Linked DNA regions of Rattus norvegicus. Each later gene encodes a partner of the first gene's protein in a complex. Links are inferred from orthologs where the notes say so. Each region holds a gene or a part of one and is shown on either strand. Other genes may lie near its edges.

Region 1 (3,816 bases):
AACACTTATATGTAATTGATACTTCCCTTCCAGTGTCTAAGTCTGTTTATTATTCTTTAAATTAGTATCCTAAAGTGGCTGTCATCTATTCTTCACTTTCAACCTGAGGGTCATGGGGAAGCTCAGAATAGATCTCAATGGCAGTAAAGCTATTCTTGTCCCTTCCATGGGATTCAAACTTATGTATTGGAAAGTGCAGGAAACAGAGATATTAGGAGAGCACATGGAATGATAAAGAACTCACCATTCTAAGTCCATCCTGAGGTGATGTGATAACCACATTGTGTTTTGCTTTGTTTTTCTGGGGAAGAATCTATAAGCATCTTCTGCATCTTACTATACTGTAGAGGCTTTTCAGAAGGATTTGTTCAGGAACTGCTTTGTCCAAATATATATATCTTAACTATATTAGCCAAAGTTTTAAACTATTGGGTTAATATTTCCCAATATTTAAGTCATTCTTATCTATATATCTAGTTTTAAGAATGCAAGGATGGTGACTCTCTCTTATAAGAAAGCTGTACTCTGGGCTGGTAAGATAGCTCAGTGAAGGTACATGCTACTCGACAATGCAGGACAGCTGATGTGCGTACCATCCCCAGAACATATGTGAAAGAAAGAGAAGAGAAGTGACTGTGCAAAGCTGTCCTCTGACCTCTATATGCATGCCATAATGCATGCCCTCACATGAATAATAATAATAATAATAATAATAATAATAATAATAATAATATCAACAGCAAGTTTTAAAAGAACTTTGTGTCCACTCTAGGGCATGTCCCTCTTTTATATGTCTTTTGTCCTCTGTCAGACTTCATGCTTAAATCTACATTAATACCTGTCTCTTAATAAGTTCTAGCTATGTGTCATTACAAAAGAATTCCAGAGCATCAAGGTATTCAGTGAAATGTAAGAAATACTCAAAAGAGCATTTAATCTTCACTATGAAATATCTCTGCAATGTCATTGTCATTGAATTCAGCTGCATAAATGTCTCATATGGAGTTAAACATAATGGCAGTGACTCTGGAGAGTGTGTCATACCTTTATACAGGCCTCCATCTCCAGAAAGTGAGGGAACAACCCCCGTGAGACAGCTGGTGGTGAGAACTTACAGATGGAACTGTGCCTACAGTATCCAGGTTTACACATCAGATCATCTATTAGCCCCCAAGGGGTGCTGCCCTAACCATGTGCAAGCTGAAGAAATAGATGTTATTTTTAAATTATGCCTTTCTTCTTTCAAGGAAAATTGTCAAAAACAAAACAAAACAAAAAAACCCTCTTATTATCTCTGAACTATAAGTTTTGAAGGAAAGAATGGAGAATTTATATTCATTTGGAAGATTTAGCAAAAGTATCCTAAATGGGCTTCTCAGATAGTAACTTCCACAGGTACCCTCTTACTCAATACCATGCAAATTGTGCTAAGCCATCTCAAATCCTATTTCCTTTTTCAGCATGCATTTTGAAACAATTCCACTTTCTGTGGAAAGCCAGAGCATAACATTTGAAGGTGTACATGATCAAAGCAACTTCCTCTACCTGAGTAGAGAATCTGGCAATATGTGTGTGTTTACAAACAGATGCTACCACAAAGTAGATTTGATCAATGCTAACACTTTAGAATGAATTCAAAGTTTGGGGAATTGTTAACACCAAGTTATGATCAGTGTTAGAGTAAATGATGTTTGAGTAATCTAGTAGAAATCACACCAAGACCAAATCAAGAAAGTAGCTTATAGTGAAGCAAAATATCCCAGCATGAACTTTCCATGCCTCCAGGGGTGTGTCTACGGCATCCTTGAGAAATGTACAGGCTGGACAGGAAAACCTGGTCCTTATTTATATACAGACCACTATTTACAGATGAAATTACACACACTTTGCTGGTATTTAAGCTTCAACCTTTTAATATCAGTTCATGTTTTCTCAGAAGATTATCTTCCTGAATAGCATGCTAAAAACCAGAGACCTTAAGAAGCAACTGTAGTTTTTCGAGGCATTAGACACTGTGAGACGAGAACACCCACAACTTTAAATAGGTTCACAAATGTCAATATGGTGCTCTCCCCCAGTGTCAGGGTCTGAGTCCAGGTTCTTCCTAAGTTTCACTCTCATCACACATAAGACATGATCACCAGCAGAAAGTGAGTTGGATATGACCCTTGGTATGGCCTCATTGTATACGAAGTTGGTTTTGCCTGTGTTAACGCGAAGGTTGGGTGCCCAGTAAGTTTTGGATCAAATGCACTTTTTCTTTCATTTTCTTCTCTAGAGCTTTGGAACTATGTTACACAGAAAGGCCACGCAGATGGAGGTGCAGTAAATCAAGGGGCCAGAAGAAAGAGTGCTGTCTGTTTATCGAAGGGTTGAGATTAGATTGCCTTCTCCTCTGTCCTAGGAAAGAGGTGTATTGTTGCCAGGACATGTGCTCTGTTCTTCACACTTGCTGCCCCTACTCAGCTAGATCACTAATGTGCCCTGCACCTTTAGATTGCATAACATGGCTAAGTTATTGAATACCTCATCTTTCCTCTTCAGACTGCAGTGGTAATCTGGGTTAAACCAAGATCATTGAACTCTTCTCTACCCGGAGAACAATAGGAAGACATTTCCATGACTAGTCATACTGGCTTATTCATCCCACCCACATCCCTCATGGAAGCAGGATCCTGAACTGTGTTTCTAACTCTGTTTGTGCTCTGGCGCTCCATTCGCATCTTAATGGGGAAGCAGAAGTCCCTAAAACACCGCTTGAAGTTTTCATCAAGAAAGGCATAGAGAACAGGATTCAAGCTGCTGTTGGTATAACCCAAGGCAATGCAGAAGTAATAGCTAGAGAGGACAGCTGTGCTGTGGGAGGTGCTGCCTAGAGCCTCGACCAGGATAAAGATGTGGATGGGGGTCCAACAGATGATGAAGACTGCAACCACTACCAGCACCAGCTTGGTGATCCGGCGGAGATTTCGGTCCTTCTCTCGAGAGCCCGAGAGGAGCCGGACACTCTTCAAGCGCAGGATCATCAGGGTGTAGCAGACAATGATGATTAAGACAGGGATAACAAAGGCAAAGACGAAGACACAGATCTTCATGAAGAGGTCCCACCAGGAATATTCATCATCAGGAAACTGCAAGGAGCATTCAATGACATCCACATCTGCCAGAGGTGACCAGAGACAACAAAATGACAGAGAATTCTGTTACTGTCTGTCCTGTGACTGCAGTGTTATACATTAACCACTCCCTTTGTTTTCACAGGTCCAGATATAGTGAGATAGTACTGGAAGGAGAACAGCAAATCAGAAATTGATGGTCCACTATATTGAGTAGTCAATAAAAAAAAAGTTTCTTCAGAGCTGTTGTCAAACACAGAGTGTTACGAAGAATAAACAAGCAAAGCTGGCTAACAATATATTCATCCAGCTGTGAAGGTTGTCTTGACATTTGTGGCTTTCAGAGGAGCTAAACTGTTTACTTTTATTGTGGTACATATTTGTATTTTTGTGTCTTAACAATGTTCCCACACCCACAGCTCTGACAAGAGTTAACATTTTTAAAAAAGTCACCATCTATTTCTGATAAATGACTGAACATTTTTAATCTCTCTACTGGATTTAACAAATACCAACTTGTCTTAAAACATCAACTGTTTATGTGGGTCCATAAGAATTGATAATGAAATATGACTAAATATGACTCAGGTGTTGTGATTTAATAGTATCACTCAGCATCATTGAAATGTGAACAAAAGCTTGAAAGGTAAATGAAAACAAACCAAGAGAAACCAATAAGCATCTACTTTAATCTTTGTGT
Region 2 (4,288 bases), on another chromosome or scaffold:
TTGCAGTGCAGAGACAGACAGAAACACAGTCCTGCGGTACCGACCGGCATGGTCAGGGTCTCAGTGAAAGCATTAGCAGTGGTTTTAAAGGAATGTTTCTCAGCTGTCGGGTTTGTTAGGAATCCCCTACCTTACTGCCATTTGGAACATTTATTAGATAAGGAGAAATGCAAAAGGAAAATGAGAGGGTAGGGGGAGAGAGATGAAAAGTCAGAGGGAAGGATCACTGGGGGTGGGGGTGGGGGGCAGAGACAGCAGGAAGTGAAGATGATGGGGAAGTGGATGAACCGGAAAGAGAGGGGAAGGGCAAAAGCCAAGGTCGTCTCCTGCTCCTCCCCCAATCTGCCCCTTGAGCTATATAATACCTGCCCGGTAAACCTTCATCAAGTTAAATAGAATAAGACTGGAGAGAGGCAGCTGAAGCCACTGCAGACACTCTGAGGATGTTCGCAGCTAGTGGCTAAGCAATCAGGCCAGTGGAGAATCGGGGTACGGTGAGGAGCACCCGCCTGAGCATGTCACGTGCTTCATAGATATGACCACTGAGCTCCTGTGGGAGTGCGGAGTGGGATCCAGGCTGAGCTGCAAAGGACTTGAGGGCGCAGCTCAGTTGAGGTTACATCTCCCCAACTGTGGTCAGCTGTGTGTTGGTTCCATTGTTTTACCACCTTGTCAGACCCAGTGAGATCGGCCAATCACTGATCAGCCAAGAGGAGCAAACTGGGGAGAGAGACCATCTGCTGACCACACCTTCTCAGACCCGCACTGAAACCAAAGCAGCCACTTCAGACCCCTCGGAGAATGAGGGAGAGATCTGCTCAATGGAAAAGTTGTGCCAGGATAACTGGAGGTGGGACGGAATGTCGGGGAGGCGGGGAGCAGCAGATAAAGCAATGGCGTCATGTGTGGGAGTGGGGAGAGAAATAGTTGACTTTTGTCAGGTTTCCCTGGGAGAGAGCACAGCAGGATGGATTGGGATGACTGACGAGATCGAGATCGACGTCTTACAAGAGAGGGGGGAGGAGTTCATTCTGAAGCCTGACATTTCGAGTCACCAGAGAGGTGGCCATAACAACATTTACTGAATGCCTACCAAATACCAAATACAGCCTCCCATGGGAGCCTTCGCAGTGACAGAGGGGAAAGAACATTATTATTATCTTCGTTATATTGGTGAGGAGATTAAGACCCTAAAAGGGAAAGGAATTGTTGCAAAGTTATACACACAACAAATAAAGGATGGCTATTGGGTTTAAATTAAGGCTCAGGTGTGGTCACACACACTTAGGTAATACATGGGAAATTCCTGAGGTAATGCTCCGAAAGTCCTGAGAATTATCCTACCCTTCCATGCGTTCTCTCAAACAGCCCAGACCCAACCACTTGAGTAGCCTAAAGGGTCAAAACAGTGGCTCCTACCACACAGTTTCCGTGGAACCGTGGAACCGCTGATACCGCACTCCCAGCTGCCAGCTACTCCTGGAGACAAGGGGAGTCACCTGCCACCCATCACGCTTAGCACGATGAGGACAAAGCAGTGGGCTCAGGATTGTGTCAATAAACACACGCACACACATGCACACTCACACACATCACTCACCCTGCTGGGGCTGCTTCAAGAGCTCCCCCCACGCAGATCTCAAAGCCTGTGGATGAGTGACCTGCAAAAACAGAACAAAAGACAAAGTGGGGTGGGATGGGAGCACCGGTGAGGGGAAGAGGGAGGAGGGTTAGCAGAGCGTAGGCGTAAAGCCCCCATGACAAGGAACAGAAAAGGACTGACATTCTGAAAGGTTTTGCGACAGATCTTGACAACAGTGCCTGCCAGATTAGAAAGACATCAGTGTATATTTCATCAACCCTTGGTGAGAATGAAGGTCTGCTGTCTGTGGGAGGACATTTGAAAAAAGACCCAATAACCTAAAGAGCTTGGAGGCTTTATTAAGGGATACTTGTAAATCTTGAGAGGTTCTCAGAAAAAGAAAAAAAGAAAACACACACCCAGGGAAAAGTAACAAGATGCAGACTTTACTGTTCAGTCATGGAGTTGTGTACAGCTGCCTTCTCTGAAGCTCGACAGCTTTTTACTGATGTCAAACTTTGGGGGTTCCACAAGACTTTCTTTAAACATGGGCGTTGCTATCAGAGAGCCCATGGCTTTCCTCAAGCTTCCTCCAGCCTAACTAGCTGCCTCCAGCAGTAAAGTGGCTGTGATTTACAGGAAAGCAACAAGTCCTTTCAAAGTAAAATTTACAAGGGAAGTCCTCCTCAGACTGGGTATCCAGCTGAGCTCTCCCTGTTCTTCCTAGTTCCCTTTCAACCAAACAACCCCAGACTTCATTCTGAGTGAAATCAAAGGAAGCCACTCAAATCCGCACCTTGTTGGTGATTAAACATGATTCAAAAAGAATGAAAAGGACGGCACTCATTTATGCGTTGATGGTGTCGATCCGGTGCTTGGCAAATGCCAAGTCCTGAACCTCATTAATGTTCCTAGCCCGTGTAATTTAAGTCCGGTGAGAAAGTGAACCTTTAAGAATAAGGCTAATTAGTGAAACCTCTTGGTCTTCCACACAGGATGCCCCCTTCTCCTCAGACCCTGAAAACTAGCATAGGGACTGCTGTGTGGCAGAGCCCACACACCGCTAGCACCTGTGGAAGCCAGGACTGTTCAGGACATGGGTTCCAGAGGACAGGCAGCTCTTTGGACTCGCTGACCAGGCTCTTGTAAACTAGCCTTGAAACTATGATTTCCTGTGCTGAGTTCCAGAACCAAACCTAACTTCCCCCAGCCCAAGCTCCCACAGGTTCCCTCACATAGCATCAGGAGCACATGCATGAAGCCAGAAACGCTGAGCTCCCTGCGGATCTTACCTGCGTGCTGCTTTGTCGCTGGCAGGCTTCTGGCTGATCAGGTGATAGGATGGCCGATCCAAGATTCAGAAGGAGCCCTGACGCTAGCTCAGAGAAGTGCCACAGAGGAAGCCTTGAAGGCTACCAAATCCCCCTATGGCAGTTCTGTGAGCCTTACTCCCTCCCCTTTTATAGAAGAGAGTCTCCCCCCACTGTCGCTCAGCCCGCTCAGCGCTCGCTCACAGAGCACAGGCTGCCAGGAGCCAATGGGGGAGTGGCAGTCAGAGCTCAGACCCCCGGGTCCTTCCACTCAACTCCCTGGGCCTGAGTGAAACACAATAGCTGCTCCAGGTGATGTGATGTGGAGGAGGATGCTCTCGCGCAGTCCGGGGGTGGATTCTCGGTGTAGCGCTGTTTGTCACTTCAAATTCGGCCACTTTGAGCATTTCCAGGAGAGTCTCACAGGAAAACAGAGACAAAAGTAGGAGAAAGGCAGAGATGGGAGGAGACAGAGAGAGAGATAGAGAGACGTAGAGAGTCCAATCGAAAGGCAGAAAGAAAGTTTGGAAACAGAGAATGGAAACAGAGAGGCAATGTCTGAGACACAATGAAGCATAGACAAAGCAGGAGGAAAAGAGAAAGAAAGCACCACAGCCGCAGAGGCTAGCAAAGATCGGCAGATAAAGAACAAGGAGTCGGAGGAGAAATGCTGGCACAAGAAACGAAGGCTGTCTCAGAATATAGGGACCAAAGGATGTCCTGGAGTGTCCAAAGCAGAGTTCTTGGTTATGGAAGAGGAACATTCAGCTCCATGTTGGCAGGGACACACACACACACACACACACACACACACACACACACACACACACTCACACACACACTGGCATGTGTATGAATGTGCATTTGCCTGAGAGTGCCAGTTGACCAGTTGACTTGGGCACCTGTCTGAGTTGATGCCAGGCACTGCTCTCCCTCACAACCAGGGGCAGCCATTCAGTTTTCAGTTGTCTCTGGCAGCAACACAGACTAAATAGCATGAGATGCCCCTCAGAACAGCAGCTCTGATGTGCCCTTGTGTGGCTCTGGGGAGGAGCAGATCTGCCTCTCGTGAACCCTCCACGGAGTTATGAGCGGCCTGGGGGTTCTGGGTGGCTGCACACACCTCCCAGAATACCCGTGTCTCTGAGTTTGGAGGAAAACATGCTCTGTGTCAGCAACAGAGCTGGTCCCCTTGGTTGGGAGAGTGTCAGAGGCTGGCTGGATGGTCCATGTCGTGAACACCTGGGTTGTACCAGGCAGGGAGCAAAGATGTCAACTCTAACTCTGATGTCCTGGCCAGGTGCAGCAGCAGAGGCTGGAGGGTTTAGAAACTGGCCACAGAGCACAGCAAGTCTTCACCCAGACCCAGATGGATCCGGTCCTAACCATCCACTGG

Evidence for each region.
Region 2: the proteins of Oprk1 (region 1) and Pdyn are in contact, whole or in part, in a cryo-EM structure (PDB 8F7W), measured with the Homo sapiens proteins. The link is inferred for Rattus norvegicus from reciprocal best matches to the Homo sapiens genes OPRK1 and PDYN. Residues at the interface, in NP_000903.2 of Homo sapiens: Thr111, Gln115, Trp124, Val134, Ile135, Asp138, Tyr139, Met142, Lys200, Glu209, Cys210, Asp216, Tyr219, Lys227, Val230, Phe293, Ile294, Glu297, His304, Ala308, Leu309, Tyr312, Tyr313, Ile316, Tyr320; in NP_001177821.1 of Homo sapiens: Tyr207, Gly208, Gly209, Phe210, Leu211, Arg212, Arg213, Ile214.

The regions. Positions count from the first base shown.
Region 1 is NC_086023.1:18,658,577-18,662,392, forward strand, and holds part of Oprk1 (kappa-type opioid receptor), read right to left. Parts: intron 3,161-3,816; coding exon 2,628-3,160; coding exon of another isoform or gene 2,541-2,627; 3' UTR 1-2,540. UniProt on the Homo sapiens protein: G-protein coupled opioid receptor that functions as a receptor for endogenous alpha-neoendorphins and dynorphins, but has low affinity for beta-endorphins.
Region 2 is NC_086021.1:137,363,470-137,367,757, forward strand, and holds the start of Pdyn (proenkephalin-B preproprotein), read right to left. Parts: upstream 3,035-4,288; 5' UTR 2,875-3,034; intron 1,662-2,874; 5' UTR 1,601-1,661; intron 1-1,600.